Saccharomyces cerevisiae S288C: one gene and its partners. Changing the gene in region 1 together with any one later gene gives a genetic interaction. Each region holds a gene or a part of one and is shown on either strand. Other genes may lie near its edges.

Evidence for each region.
Region 2: of SPT10 (region 1) and SYH1, a mutation in one rescues a mutant of the other (synthetic rescue), as found in Saccharomyces cerevisiae (one study listed by BioGRID).
Region 3: mutations in SPT10 (region 1) and RMD8 are lethal when combined (synthetic lethality), as found in Saccharomyces cerevisiae (one study listed by BioGRID).

The regions. Positions count from the first base shown.
Region 1 is NC_001142.9:182,595-186,352, reverse strand, and holds the start of SPT10 (Spt10p), read left to right. Parts: upstream 1-2,132; coding exon 2,133-3,758. Other genes in the region: tRNA 1-methyladenosine methyltransferase subunit GCD14, read left to right, coding at 1-825; NIT2 (putative hydrolase), read right to left, coding at 929-1,852. UniProt on the Saccharomyces cerevisiae protein: Required for normal transcription at a number of loci in yeast. Affects transcription at Ty1 elements, at PHO5, STE6 and ADH2.
Region 2 is NC_001148.4:353,640-357,397, reverse strand, and holds the start of SYH1 (Syh1p), read left to right. Parts: upstream 1-1,985; coding exon 1,986-3,758. Other genes in the region: aspartate--tRNA ligase MSD1, read right to left, coding at 1-1,698.
Region 3 is NC_001138.5:244,560-248,317, reverse strand, and holds RMD8 (Rmd8p), read right to left. Parts: upstream 2,173-3,758; coding exon 184-2,172; downstream 1-183. Other genes in the region: BNA6 (nicotinate-nucleotide diphosphorylase (carboxylating)), read left to right, coding at 3,152-3,758. UniProt on the Saccharomyces cerevisiae protein: Required for sporulation.

The DNA of each region.
Region 1 (3,758 bases):
CCTCACAGCAGAGTGATCGAGGCAGGTACAGGCTCAGGATCATTTTCGCACGCTTTTGCAAGATCTGTAGGTCATCTTTTTAGTTTTGAATTTCATCACATAAGATACGAACAAGCATTAGAGGAATTCAAAGAGCATGGACTTATTGATGATAACGTTACGATTACACATCGGGATGTTTGCCAAGGTGGATTTCTTATAAAGAAGGGAGACACTACATCTTACGAATTTGGCAATAATGAAACCGCCGCTTCATTGAATGCAAATGTAGTGTTTTTAGATCTGCCGGCTCCCTGGGATGCTATACCTCATCTGGATTCTGTTATTTCCGTAGACGAAAAGGTCGGATTGTGTTGCTTCTCCCCATGCATTGAGCAAGTAGACAAAACATTGGATGTATTAGAGAAATATGGCTGGACGGATGTTGAAATGGTGGAAATTCAAGGTAGACAGTACGAAAGTCGAAGACAAATGGTCAGATCACTCAATGATGCCCTGGAAAGGTTGAGAGATATTAAGAGGCACAAACTCCAGGGTGTAGAAAGACGCAAGCGGATGTTTAACAATACAATAGATTCTAACGATGAAAAAGTTGGAAAAAGAAACGAGGATGGCGTACCATTAACAGAAAAGGCCAAATTTAATCCTTTTGGCAAAGGTTCTCGAATCAAGGAAGGTGATAGTAATTATAAATGGAAGGAGGTCACAAAGATGGAAGCTGAGATCAAATCCCATACCTCATATTTGACTTTTGCATTTAAAGTTGTGAATAGATCAAGAGATGATGAAAAAGTTAACGAAATTCTTCGATCCACGGAAAAATAATTAAATGATTAACTACTTATATACTTAAATTATATGTTTTTGAAATTTTTAATATGTAAAGCAAATCTGTACGAATAAAGGCTTTTTTCATATTTTATTTGCCTCAATGAAATAAATCGTCTCTTCTCTGGTTCCATAAGGGCATTTTGTTCCTTATTTCTTGCAAAAGCTCACGATCCAAATCAGCGAGAATTAGTTGTGGTCCAACAGTAGAGGGATCGGCATGCGCTATTATTTTACCCCAAGGATCAATGACCATTGAGTGTCCCCAAGATTCTCTCCTGGAGCTTTTTTCGAGAGCGCTCATATGTGATTGTTTCTCCCACTCTGGATCACTGAGATCGTGCATTCCAACCTGCCCTGGCATGAGCACATAGCATTGAGTGTCAACCGCTCTTGCTCTGCCTAGTAACTCCCAATGTGCTTCCCCTGTTTTAATAGTGAACGCACTGGGAAAACATAAGATTTCAGCCCCCATTGATCGTAATTTCAAAGAAAATTCGGGAAAGCGAATATCATAACAAATGGCACTGCCCAATTTTCCCAATGGAGACTCTATAATGTCAGGAATGGCTTTGCCAGGCTGGACAGATTTTGATTCTTTCAATATCGGTCCATTTGGCACGTCTACGTCAAACAAATGCAGTTTTTGGTATTCTTGCAATATTTTCCCTTCATGATCGATATATAATAGAACGTTTCTGACTCGATCATTGCCTTCAAGTAAATCTTGTTCTGAGGGCGGCAAGTGTACCCCAATGGAAACATCTATATTCCGTGAATTATCTCTGACAAGGTCGGTAATGCTTGACTGTAATTGCCGAATAAATTTGGGGCTTTTCTGTGCCAAATACCTGGAATGAAGAGGGTTTTGAGAAAGATAGTCACTTGCCTCAGGGAGAAAAACGACATCCGCCTTTTTTTGAATGGCTTCAGATATCAATTCTTTTACCACTTTTAAGTTTTTGGTCAGGTCAGCGGATGAACATAATTGTGCGACAGCAACCCGTTTTAATTTACTAGTCATTTGCGGTGTTATATTTTATGAAGGAGACTTCATGATGGGTATGAATTTTATTTCACCTCTATTCATTTACTTCTAATGGCCTAGAATCTAGTAAGCTCTGAAAATTCGAGATGCGGATCGTGAGCTAAAATAATAAAAAAATGAAAAATATAAAAGAGCAAAATTCATTACATTGGCGTTAGTTCACTGCTCGGGGGATGAGTAAAAAGTGTACCGATCAAGAACAACTCTAGACTTCCGCCAAAGTGATTATCAACAAAAATCGTAATAATTAGCTTCAATGCTAAATCAGCACACAAGTTCAGTACCGGATGACGAACATCTGCAGATGGCACACCAAAATAGCAGTTCAGAAGTGAGAAATGAGGCAGCGGTCCCAGATCAACTTTTGACTCCTTTACAACCGTATACCATTTTATTGAAAGATGGAGAAACAATAGCTACGATGTATCCTATACCTGCGTATCCTGATTTATTGCCGCTAGGGCTCTTAAATTTCCTTCTAGATGAATTTAACATGGAAGTGGAAAAGGGAGATAGTTTTCCTTATTACGAGACTTTATCACTAGAAGAATTCAAAAATGTCTGGTTTCATAATGATGGTCACGTTTGTATTATGGTGTTAGGCGAAATACCAGAACTGGATTATAGTATGGATACTGAAGCGGACACAAATGATAATTTTGGAACAGAAATAGAAACCACGAAGCACACCACCCAATATAAGAAACGAAAAGAACGTCGCAATTTAAATCTAAGTATGCAGTGGGAGAAGCAATGTCTAGGCATATTTGACCTCAAACCAGCATACCCTGGACGGTCAGCGCATGTGGTCACAGGAACATTTCTGGTCAATGCTGGTATTCGTGGAAAAGGTATTGGGAAAACACTAATGGAAACATTCATAGAATGGTCAAAGAAATTAGGATTTACGTCCTCCTTTTTCCCGTTAATTTACGGAACGAACGTAGGAATCAGAAGAATTTTGGAAGGATTGAACTTTAGGCGGATTGGAAAGCTGCCTGAAGCCGGGATTCTCAAGGGCTTTGATGTCCCAGTAGATTCTTTCATGTATGGTAAAGAGTTCACACATATTACGAAAAGTATAGATTTGTTACGAGATCCTCAAAAGAGTATCGAAATTGGGAAATATGAACGATTAAAGCATTTTCTGGAAACAGGCAAGTATCCTTTACATTGTGATAGAAACGAAAAGGCTAGATTAAGAGTACTTTCCAAAACTCATTCGGTATTGAATGGCAAGTTGATGACAAAAGGAAAAGAAATCATTTATGACACGGATCAACAAATCCAGATTGCATTAGAGATACATTTAATGGAACATTTAGGCATCAACAAGGTGACCTCCAAAATTGGTGAAAAATACCATTGGAGAGGAATCAAGAGTACTGTTTCGGAGGTAATCTCTCGGTGCCAAAAATGCAAGATGAGGTACAAAGACGGGACAGGGGTAATAATTGAACAAAAGAGAGCAGTTAAGCAGGCGCATATGCTACCGACGCAGCATATAGAAACTATCAACAATCCAAGAAAAAGCAAGAAGCATGATAATGCGTTATTGGGACAGGCAATAAATTTCCCTCAAAATATTATTTCCAGTACGCTGAATGATGTGGAGGGTGAACCCACTCCGCCAGACACTAATATCGTACAACCCACATTCCAGAACGCCACGAATAGTCCCGCAACAACAGCTGAAGCCAACGAAGCGAATAAAAGATCCGAGTTTCTTTCCTCAATACAGAGCACGCCACTATTGGACGACGAACAGTCAATGAATTCCTTCAATAGATTCGTGGAGGAAGAAAACTCAAGAAAAAGACGAAAATACTTGGATGTTGCCTCCAACGGAATTGTACCCCATTTAACGAATAACGAATCGCAG
Region 2 (3,758 bases), on another chromosome or scaffold:
TAATCTTGGATCGTGAATTCTTGTTGAGCCACCACCAAGTTCCACACCGTTAACTACGAGGTCATAATGCCGACCCAAGCACTTTTCCGGCGTCTTTTCTAATTTTTCGTAGTCTTTAAGCTTCACCATAGTAAAAGGATGATGCGTGGAACATAGTCTATCCTTTTCGTACTCCGGATATGCAAGCTTTTCTTTTTTACCAGACTTATCTTCAATTATAACGGGAGAAAATAACGGGAAATCCACAATCCATGAGGCAACATCCTTATTGACAGCATGATAGATATTTTTCCCATGCTCACTTTGTAGCACCAACTGTCTCAATCTTCCCAGGGGAGTAGGATTCTCGAAAATGGAATGGTTTGGCTCTCTCGTACAACCGCATACAATGTCACCTTTTTTCAGTTTCAGAAATTTGGTTATTAGATGTGGGTTTTCAAACGTGGCAATTGCATGAAAATTCTCAAACCAATTTGAATTAGCTTGTTCGTCATTTTCAATTGGTAGCACTATTGGAACTCTATAATTGTAATTACTGTTATTTGTCAGAAACGACCATCGTTCTTTGTACTCTTCCATATTTGAAAAGGCACTTCTTAGAATAATTACTTCAAAAACGGGAAATTTTTTGTTCAAATGACTAAAGGCATTGAACTCGCCTAAATTGATAATCTTCAAATCTGGCGCTCTCAAATCTGGCTTGTCAATACCATATGAGGTCATGGCTTGTTCGTAGGTCATACGAAAGATAGATACTGTGCCGTTTTCCTTTTTCGCAGGCACTAATGTACCCTTACTGTCTAAAGTCAATAATCCTCGTTTTTTGGAAAATTTACTCCATACCCCAGAAACTGTCTTTTCTATGATTTTCATGACATCTTCAGAATTAGCAAAGGCCATTTCCATATCAACCTGTGTAAACTCAGGCTGCCTGTCTGCTCTTAAATCTTCATCTCTAAAGCACCTTGCCATTTGATAATATTTGTTGACACCACTAGCCATTAAGAGTTGCTTGTATTGTTGAGGGCTCTGATCTAGAGCATAAAACGATGGTTTACCATCGGATCTCTTTGTCCTTGTTGGAACCAGAAACTCTCTTGCGCCTTCTGGGGTAGCTTTAAATAACATTGGGGTCTCGACCTCCGTAAAATCAAAATTGTTGAAGGAGTTTCTTATTTCCTTAGAGATAGATGACCTCTTCTTTAAAAAATCTTGATATTTGGGATTTCTCAATTGCAAATAGCGGAACTCAGGTGGGTATATGGCTGACAATTTAAAATCCTGCATTTGCGCTGGTTTTTTATTAGATGCATTTAACACAGTAATATCCTCCAATTGCACTTCGTACTCATCTGCGTCCTCATTTGATAGCTTCCTCTTCAAAGAGAGTATACCTACGGCTTGAACCACATCCTCTAAAGTAAAGCCTTTCAACAACGATTTGTTATCAACCAACTGGATAATGTCACCGTTAGAGTCCCTTAAAAGTCCGAAGATCAAATTTTTCCCAACTCTTTTTGGCTTCTGCTCTATCCATCCATTGAGTACTATTTTCTGGCCGCTAGACAGTCCTTTTAACTGTTTGATGGTCGAGGTGTCCTTCCTAAAGAGAAATTTTTTCTTAATAGCATTGGCTTCTGGAAAGTCTGCCAACCGTCTAGTGATTGTCTGCAAGCACACCCTGGAACGGGCCAACATGATTAAAACTTGTAATGTTTAGTCTTTTCAAAAAAGCATGCACTCAACTGAATCAAAATGTTAAGAAAACATGAATAATGAATAAATGAGGCATTCAATGCCATCTATTACTTCCTACTCCCATTTTCACCTTATTATTGTACTTTGGTACGGCAGTAGCTTTCTGAAATTTCATCTACCAAACTTTGCAAGCACGAAAAAGAAAGCAAAACATTTCATTTACCATGGACGCATGGAGAAGGTCGATTTTGCCACAGCTTGCACAAGATTGGCAGTGGCAGTAAGTGATGAATCCTATCAACTCTCTAGCGTTTGACCTTCACAGTGTTAAACTTGCAGACGCGAACTCAGACACTGCTGCATTATCAAATAGCAATACTCCAACCATGAACAATGCGGCTCTTTTGCAAAGGCCCTCCTCCATTATGGATTCTATTGGCGTCCAAAGAGTTCCATCTCCTTTTGTGCCAGGGAGTAATGCGATTAGTGGAGCCAGTACTGTTCCCTTCAATGCATATGACGCTGAAATTACTGGATCTCCGCTACAAATATCTGCTAATCAGGAAAACAATAGTGCATTTAGTGCAGCATCATCCAACCTGCATATGAACGCCAGCAGCCCTTCCGTTCTCAATAAACCCTCGAGCACATTTCCAAATGTAGCTCCTTATCTCTACAACGCAACAGGGCCTGCCCCCAACGTTGGTAATCAACCCCCACCACCGGGGATAGAATCTCAGTGGAAATACATTGACTCTAATGGTAACATTCAGGGGCCTTTTGGTACCAATAATATGTCACAGTGGTATCAAGGAGGTTATTTTACTCCAACTTTGCAAATCTGTAGATTAGCAACATCTCCTGAGCCATTTGGTGTAAATGATCGGTTTATTAGACTAGGTGAATTGACTACTCTGGTGAATAATTATCAAGACCCTTTTGTCGCCTTTGATTTCATTGTTATTAGAGCTTTGAATGCTGTTCCACTTGTTGCACCAACTTCATCAGAAAAGCAAAAAGTTGAGTCAAGAGATTTGATACCTGTTGCTGATGTGCATAGTGATGATTTTACGTATGAAGAAATCCTTGGCCTTAAATTTGAAGATGGAAGTTACTATCATGAAACTCAGGTTTGGGTTCCGGTTGACGGCCGTCATATCACAAAGGTAGATCGCATACCAAAGATATCTGCATATACCGCTCCTCTATCCACGACTTCTAGTAGATCTAATAAAACCACTTCTTCCCATGAAGAGAAGGTTCCTTCCCACGAGGAAGCTTCTCCAGAGGAGCAAGAGGTTTTTTCAGAAGAGGGCAGAACTGTTTCTAACATAACAAATGAAGAGGAATCTATTGTCAAAAATCCTACTAAGCAGGAGGAAGAATCTCGAGGAAGCGAGAAAGAGCAAAATATATTGGATCAAGTTCAACCAGAGATTGAAGAGGTAGACCGTAAGGATGTAATATCCACTGCTGATGAGCCGAAAAGCAAAGATACGCCGCAAATGACTTCTGAAGAGCAGAAAAGGTTTGCAAAGGCAGAACTGATGGCACAAAAATTATTGGAAGAACAACAAAGACAAGAAGAAGAAAAAAAGAGAAGAGAAGAACAGCGCAAATTAAAGAAGGAGAAAAAATTGAAGCAAAAGCAGAAAAAGGAAGAAGAGAAGTTAAAAAAGAAGAAGAAGGAAGAAGGAAAATTAGAGAAAGAAAAGCAAAAAGAATTGCTAAATAACATTTTAACTGGAGATACAGAAACTCCATCTTCCGAAAACACCGCAACTTCCATAACCACTAATTTGGCGCCTTGGGCTAACAAGAAACCCGAGGGTGCTGTTTATAATCAGATTTCATCTGCTCTTGAAGATTTGAAGAAGGAGAACTCGTCCAAGAAAGAAAAAAAACCTAATCGTACTCAGTTAGATCGTGAGCAGGCATTAAAACTACAGAAAGAAATATTAAGCTCGGCGCAAATTCCGAAAACTCAAACTGGTTCTGCCTGGGGTATAAAGCCACAGCAACCGATCAAAGTTGATATTAAAGGAGAATTGATGAAAGAC
Region 3 (3,758 bases), on another chromosome or scaffold:
ATTCGAGTCCCTTAGTCATATTATTGTACTTTTAATGCAATCTTGAGGGGAGCCAATCAACGAGTGGTTTTACTTGCACGTGACCAAGAATGGTAATAACGGTGAAATATATGACTAAAAACCTTGATAACTAAATATATCATTAATTTATTTTTAATGCCGTCTAGAAGGGTGTATGAATATCTATGTAGAAGTATGACGATGAATAATTACATAACGAACGAAAATCTCTGTTAATGAAAATATAACTCCAAATAAAATGACAAGAATAAACCACCATGTAACACGAGCCATGTTTCTTTCAGCAACAGAGTCAACGCATATATCAAAGAATTCCAAGAAAACTTTGCAACGATCATTTAATACTTGTACTCTTTGGTCAATTTCTAAATACTCCCTCATTGCCACGTACAGTGGATGCAAACTTGGTTCGAACGACCAAAAAAACTCGGGTGTATCCAATATGGTGGATGAAAGGTTAACATCCACTCTCAATTTAAAGAGCTTCCCTGATTTTTTCAAAAGCTGTTCCCTTTTTAACCCAAGGGTACCATATAATGCTAGTCTTTTAGGTAGTTTTGTGACTGATATTAAAATCGGCGAAATTCTGGATTCAAACCTTGATAATTTCGAAGATTGCGCAATCGCATGTGATAGTGTCAGCTCGATAATGTGGTCACCTGAACGTAATGTGACAATATCATTGAAAATTCTCGGTCTCTCGGTATCTCTGTCATATTCGAAATGGAATTGTTCAGTTTCAATATCTTGTTCATCCAGCGGCCGGATCATTAAATTCTTATAATCTGCAAATGTTATATCACCAAGAATATTTTTCTCTTGAATTTCAGTAAAGTTCCAAAAAACAATAACGCCATAGTGAAAAATGAAAATTTCTGCATGTCTATCATTGCCTTCATGGTCGTTGTCCCTATGCATTTTATATACACGATCAAAATCATTCTGTGATGAAGATGGTGGCGATGGCGTAGATATTGATGATGGCGAAGCTGGTGAACGAGAGGACTGTACATACTGATCGTTTCCCTCAACAGCATAAAGTTTACTCTTATCATTATTTTTATTATTATTATCGTTGCCACAACTTGCATCACTGTCGTTTTCCTCCTTCTTCAGCATGTTTATTCTTTCTGTCCTTTCCCGTTTCTCTATCTCTAAGGGAGTTTCTTCCGCAAAAAATTGTGGTTCCATAGGATTAAAAGAGTCTTGCTGACCAACTGGATTTGGTAGATGATCGGGAACTGTTGTGGTGTCTTGATTAGCGTTATTGTTATTTCCACTGGTTTCTAGTTCGTAATTATTATTTGCATCTTCCACAGTTTCCACACCTGAGTAATATTCATAATGATGATCTCTCTGTTCGCTTGTATCAATTAAATTATCAATTAATGTCTTTCCACCCATTGTTTTCTTAGATAAATTTGATTTGATTCTAAAACCGCCTTTACCTGGTAGAAGTGGCAAAGTATACGCAACGTATAGACACTCATCATACAATCTTGGTGAAACCTCATGAGTTTCCTGCAGAAACTTATACAATTGGTTGAGATTGAAGCCATCAGCAACATTATATGCGGTGATTCTTGCCATGGACTTTTCTTTTGAGTATCGAGGTAGCCGATCGAAGGAATTAGACTTCATAGAGCCCACTTTCGGTCTTTGCCTATCCAGCGCGTTCGTTGGTAGAGTTTGAAAGTGGTTCAAGTTGTCGTCTTCCGGTATCAACACTAACTTTTGTGACGTCTTCGATGTTCTTGGAGGCAGGGGATTGATCATCTTTCTACGCGAACTTAACCGCTCATATTGGCGAGGCCTATCGCTTGAAGAGCTGGATAGCCTTTCCTCTCTTCTGGCAGAGGGAATATCTGAATTATCAGAAAGAATATTATCTATGGATATATCGCTAAACCTGCCAGACGATCGCCTTCTTGGATGAGTAAAACTCTGCAGCGGAGAAGGGCCAATAGCGGAAGAGCGAACTCCTTGAGACTTCGTAACTCCTGCGTTTTCCATATTCTTCCTACTACCAGCAGCGTGTCCAGCGAACGGTGCACTCATTCTATTCTTGGATGTTCTTGCATCTGTCACCAGGATGGAAGGTGACCTTTTCGGCATCTCCCCAGGAGATGGTTGGTTAGCCTTATAACTCATACTGTCGTCTTAAATGGAAGTCCTTTCCTTTGCTCCATATGCAATTTTGCATACGAACTTCCGATTGATATAATCTTGTATTAATGTATGCCTAACCTGGTTTTGTTTTTCTTGTAGGTTTTTCTAGCCAGTTTTACTATAAATTGTCACTTTTTCCTAGTAGTCAATTTGAAAAAAAAAAAAATATATGGGTAATTATAATAACAAGAAGTGTTCTTCTGATTGTCGGAGATGCCTCTAATGCCAATGCACAGGCTTCCATAAAGTTTTCAAGCATGACAGAAAGCTAACTTGTCTTTTACTTCTTTGTTGGGCACACTTCTCATTTTTAAAAAAAAGATTTCCACCTTCACGATCATATCTGAAATGAACTGAATATTTTGTTCTTGTGAGAATAAACTTGTCTACTAATCGCAAATTTTTCAAGATTAACCTTCCGCACCCATTGAGGTACTAAACTGATCTACCCTACCTTTCCTAAATACCTAATGTCAGGTACATAATGCCAGCGACAGCTCAAAATCACGGGATACTAATTATTAAATAGTAGTAGCTTCTTCTCCACGCACAGTTCGATCGAAGGAGCTAATATTCGGCTTGTCATCTTCCATGGCCAGTAATTTTTTTTATTGTCATTTGGGACTAATGAGATGGAAACTAGAATTGTAGTTATACATCCTGAGGTTTCTATCAACTTGTGTGTCACAACGTTTTATATACTTGAATGCGTAGTAGCAAACCCCGGCAAGACGTAAGTTAACTTGTCAAAGGTACAAGCTTGGTTACAAACAATGTGATATTTCGCTCCAGGATATTTTTGCTTTTGGTGACGCCGGTTGGTTGAAGAGCCCCCATTTATCATGACTCCTACCGCAGTTTTCGTATATCTTGGGCCATAAATTCGAAAATTAAAGACACCACTTAATAACGCAACAAAAAGAACGCAATCCTCAGAAAGAACACACACCAAAAAAAAAAAATGCCTGTTTATGAACACTTATTGCCCGTTAATGGAGCATGGAGACAAGACGTCACCAATTGGCTGAGCGAGGACGTTCCTTCTTTTGATTTTGGTGGATATGTTGTTGGTTCCGACCTAAAGGAGGCCAATTTGTACTGTAAGCAGGATGGTATGCTGTGTGGTGTCCCCTTTGCGCAAGAAGTCTTTAATCAGTGCGAATTGCAAGTTGAGTGGTTGTTTAAGGAAGGCTCCTTCTTGGAGCCTTCGAAGAATGACTCTGGTAAGATTGTTGTAGCTAAAATTACTGGGCCCGCTAAAAACATTCTATTAGCTGAAAGAACCGCCTTGAACATCCTTAGTAGAAGTAGTGGAATTGCCACCGCCTCACATAAGATAATCAGTTTGGCGCGTTCGACTGGTTACAAGGGGACCATTGCGGGGACAAGAAAGACTACACCAGGTTTACGTAGATTAGAAAAGTATTCCATGCTTGTAGGTGGCTGCGACACGCACAGATACGACCTTTCCTCTATGGTCATGCTCAAAGATAATCATATTTGGGCTACTGGTTCTATAACAAACGCAGTTAAGAACGCCAGGGCCGTGTGCGGGTTTGCTGTGAAGA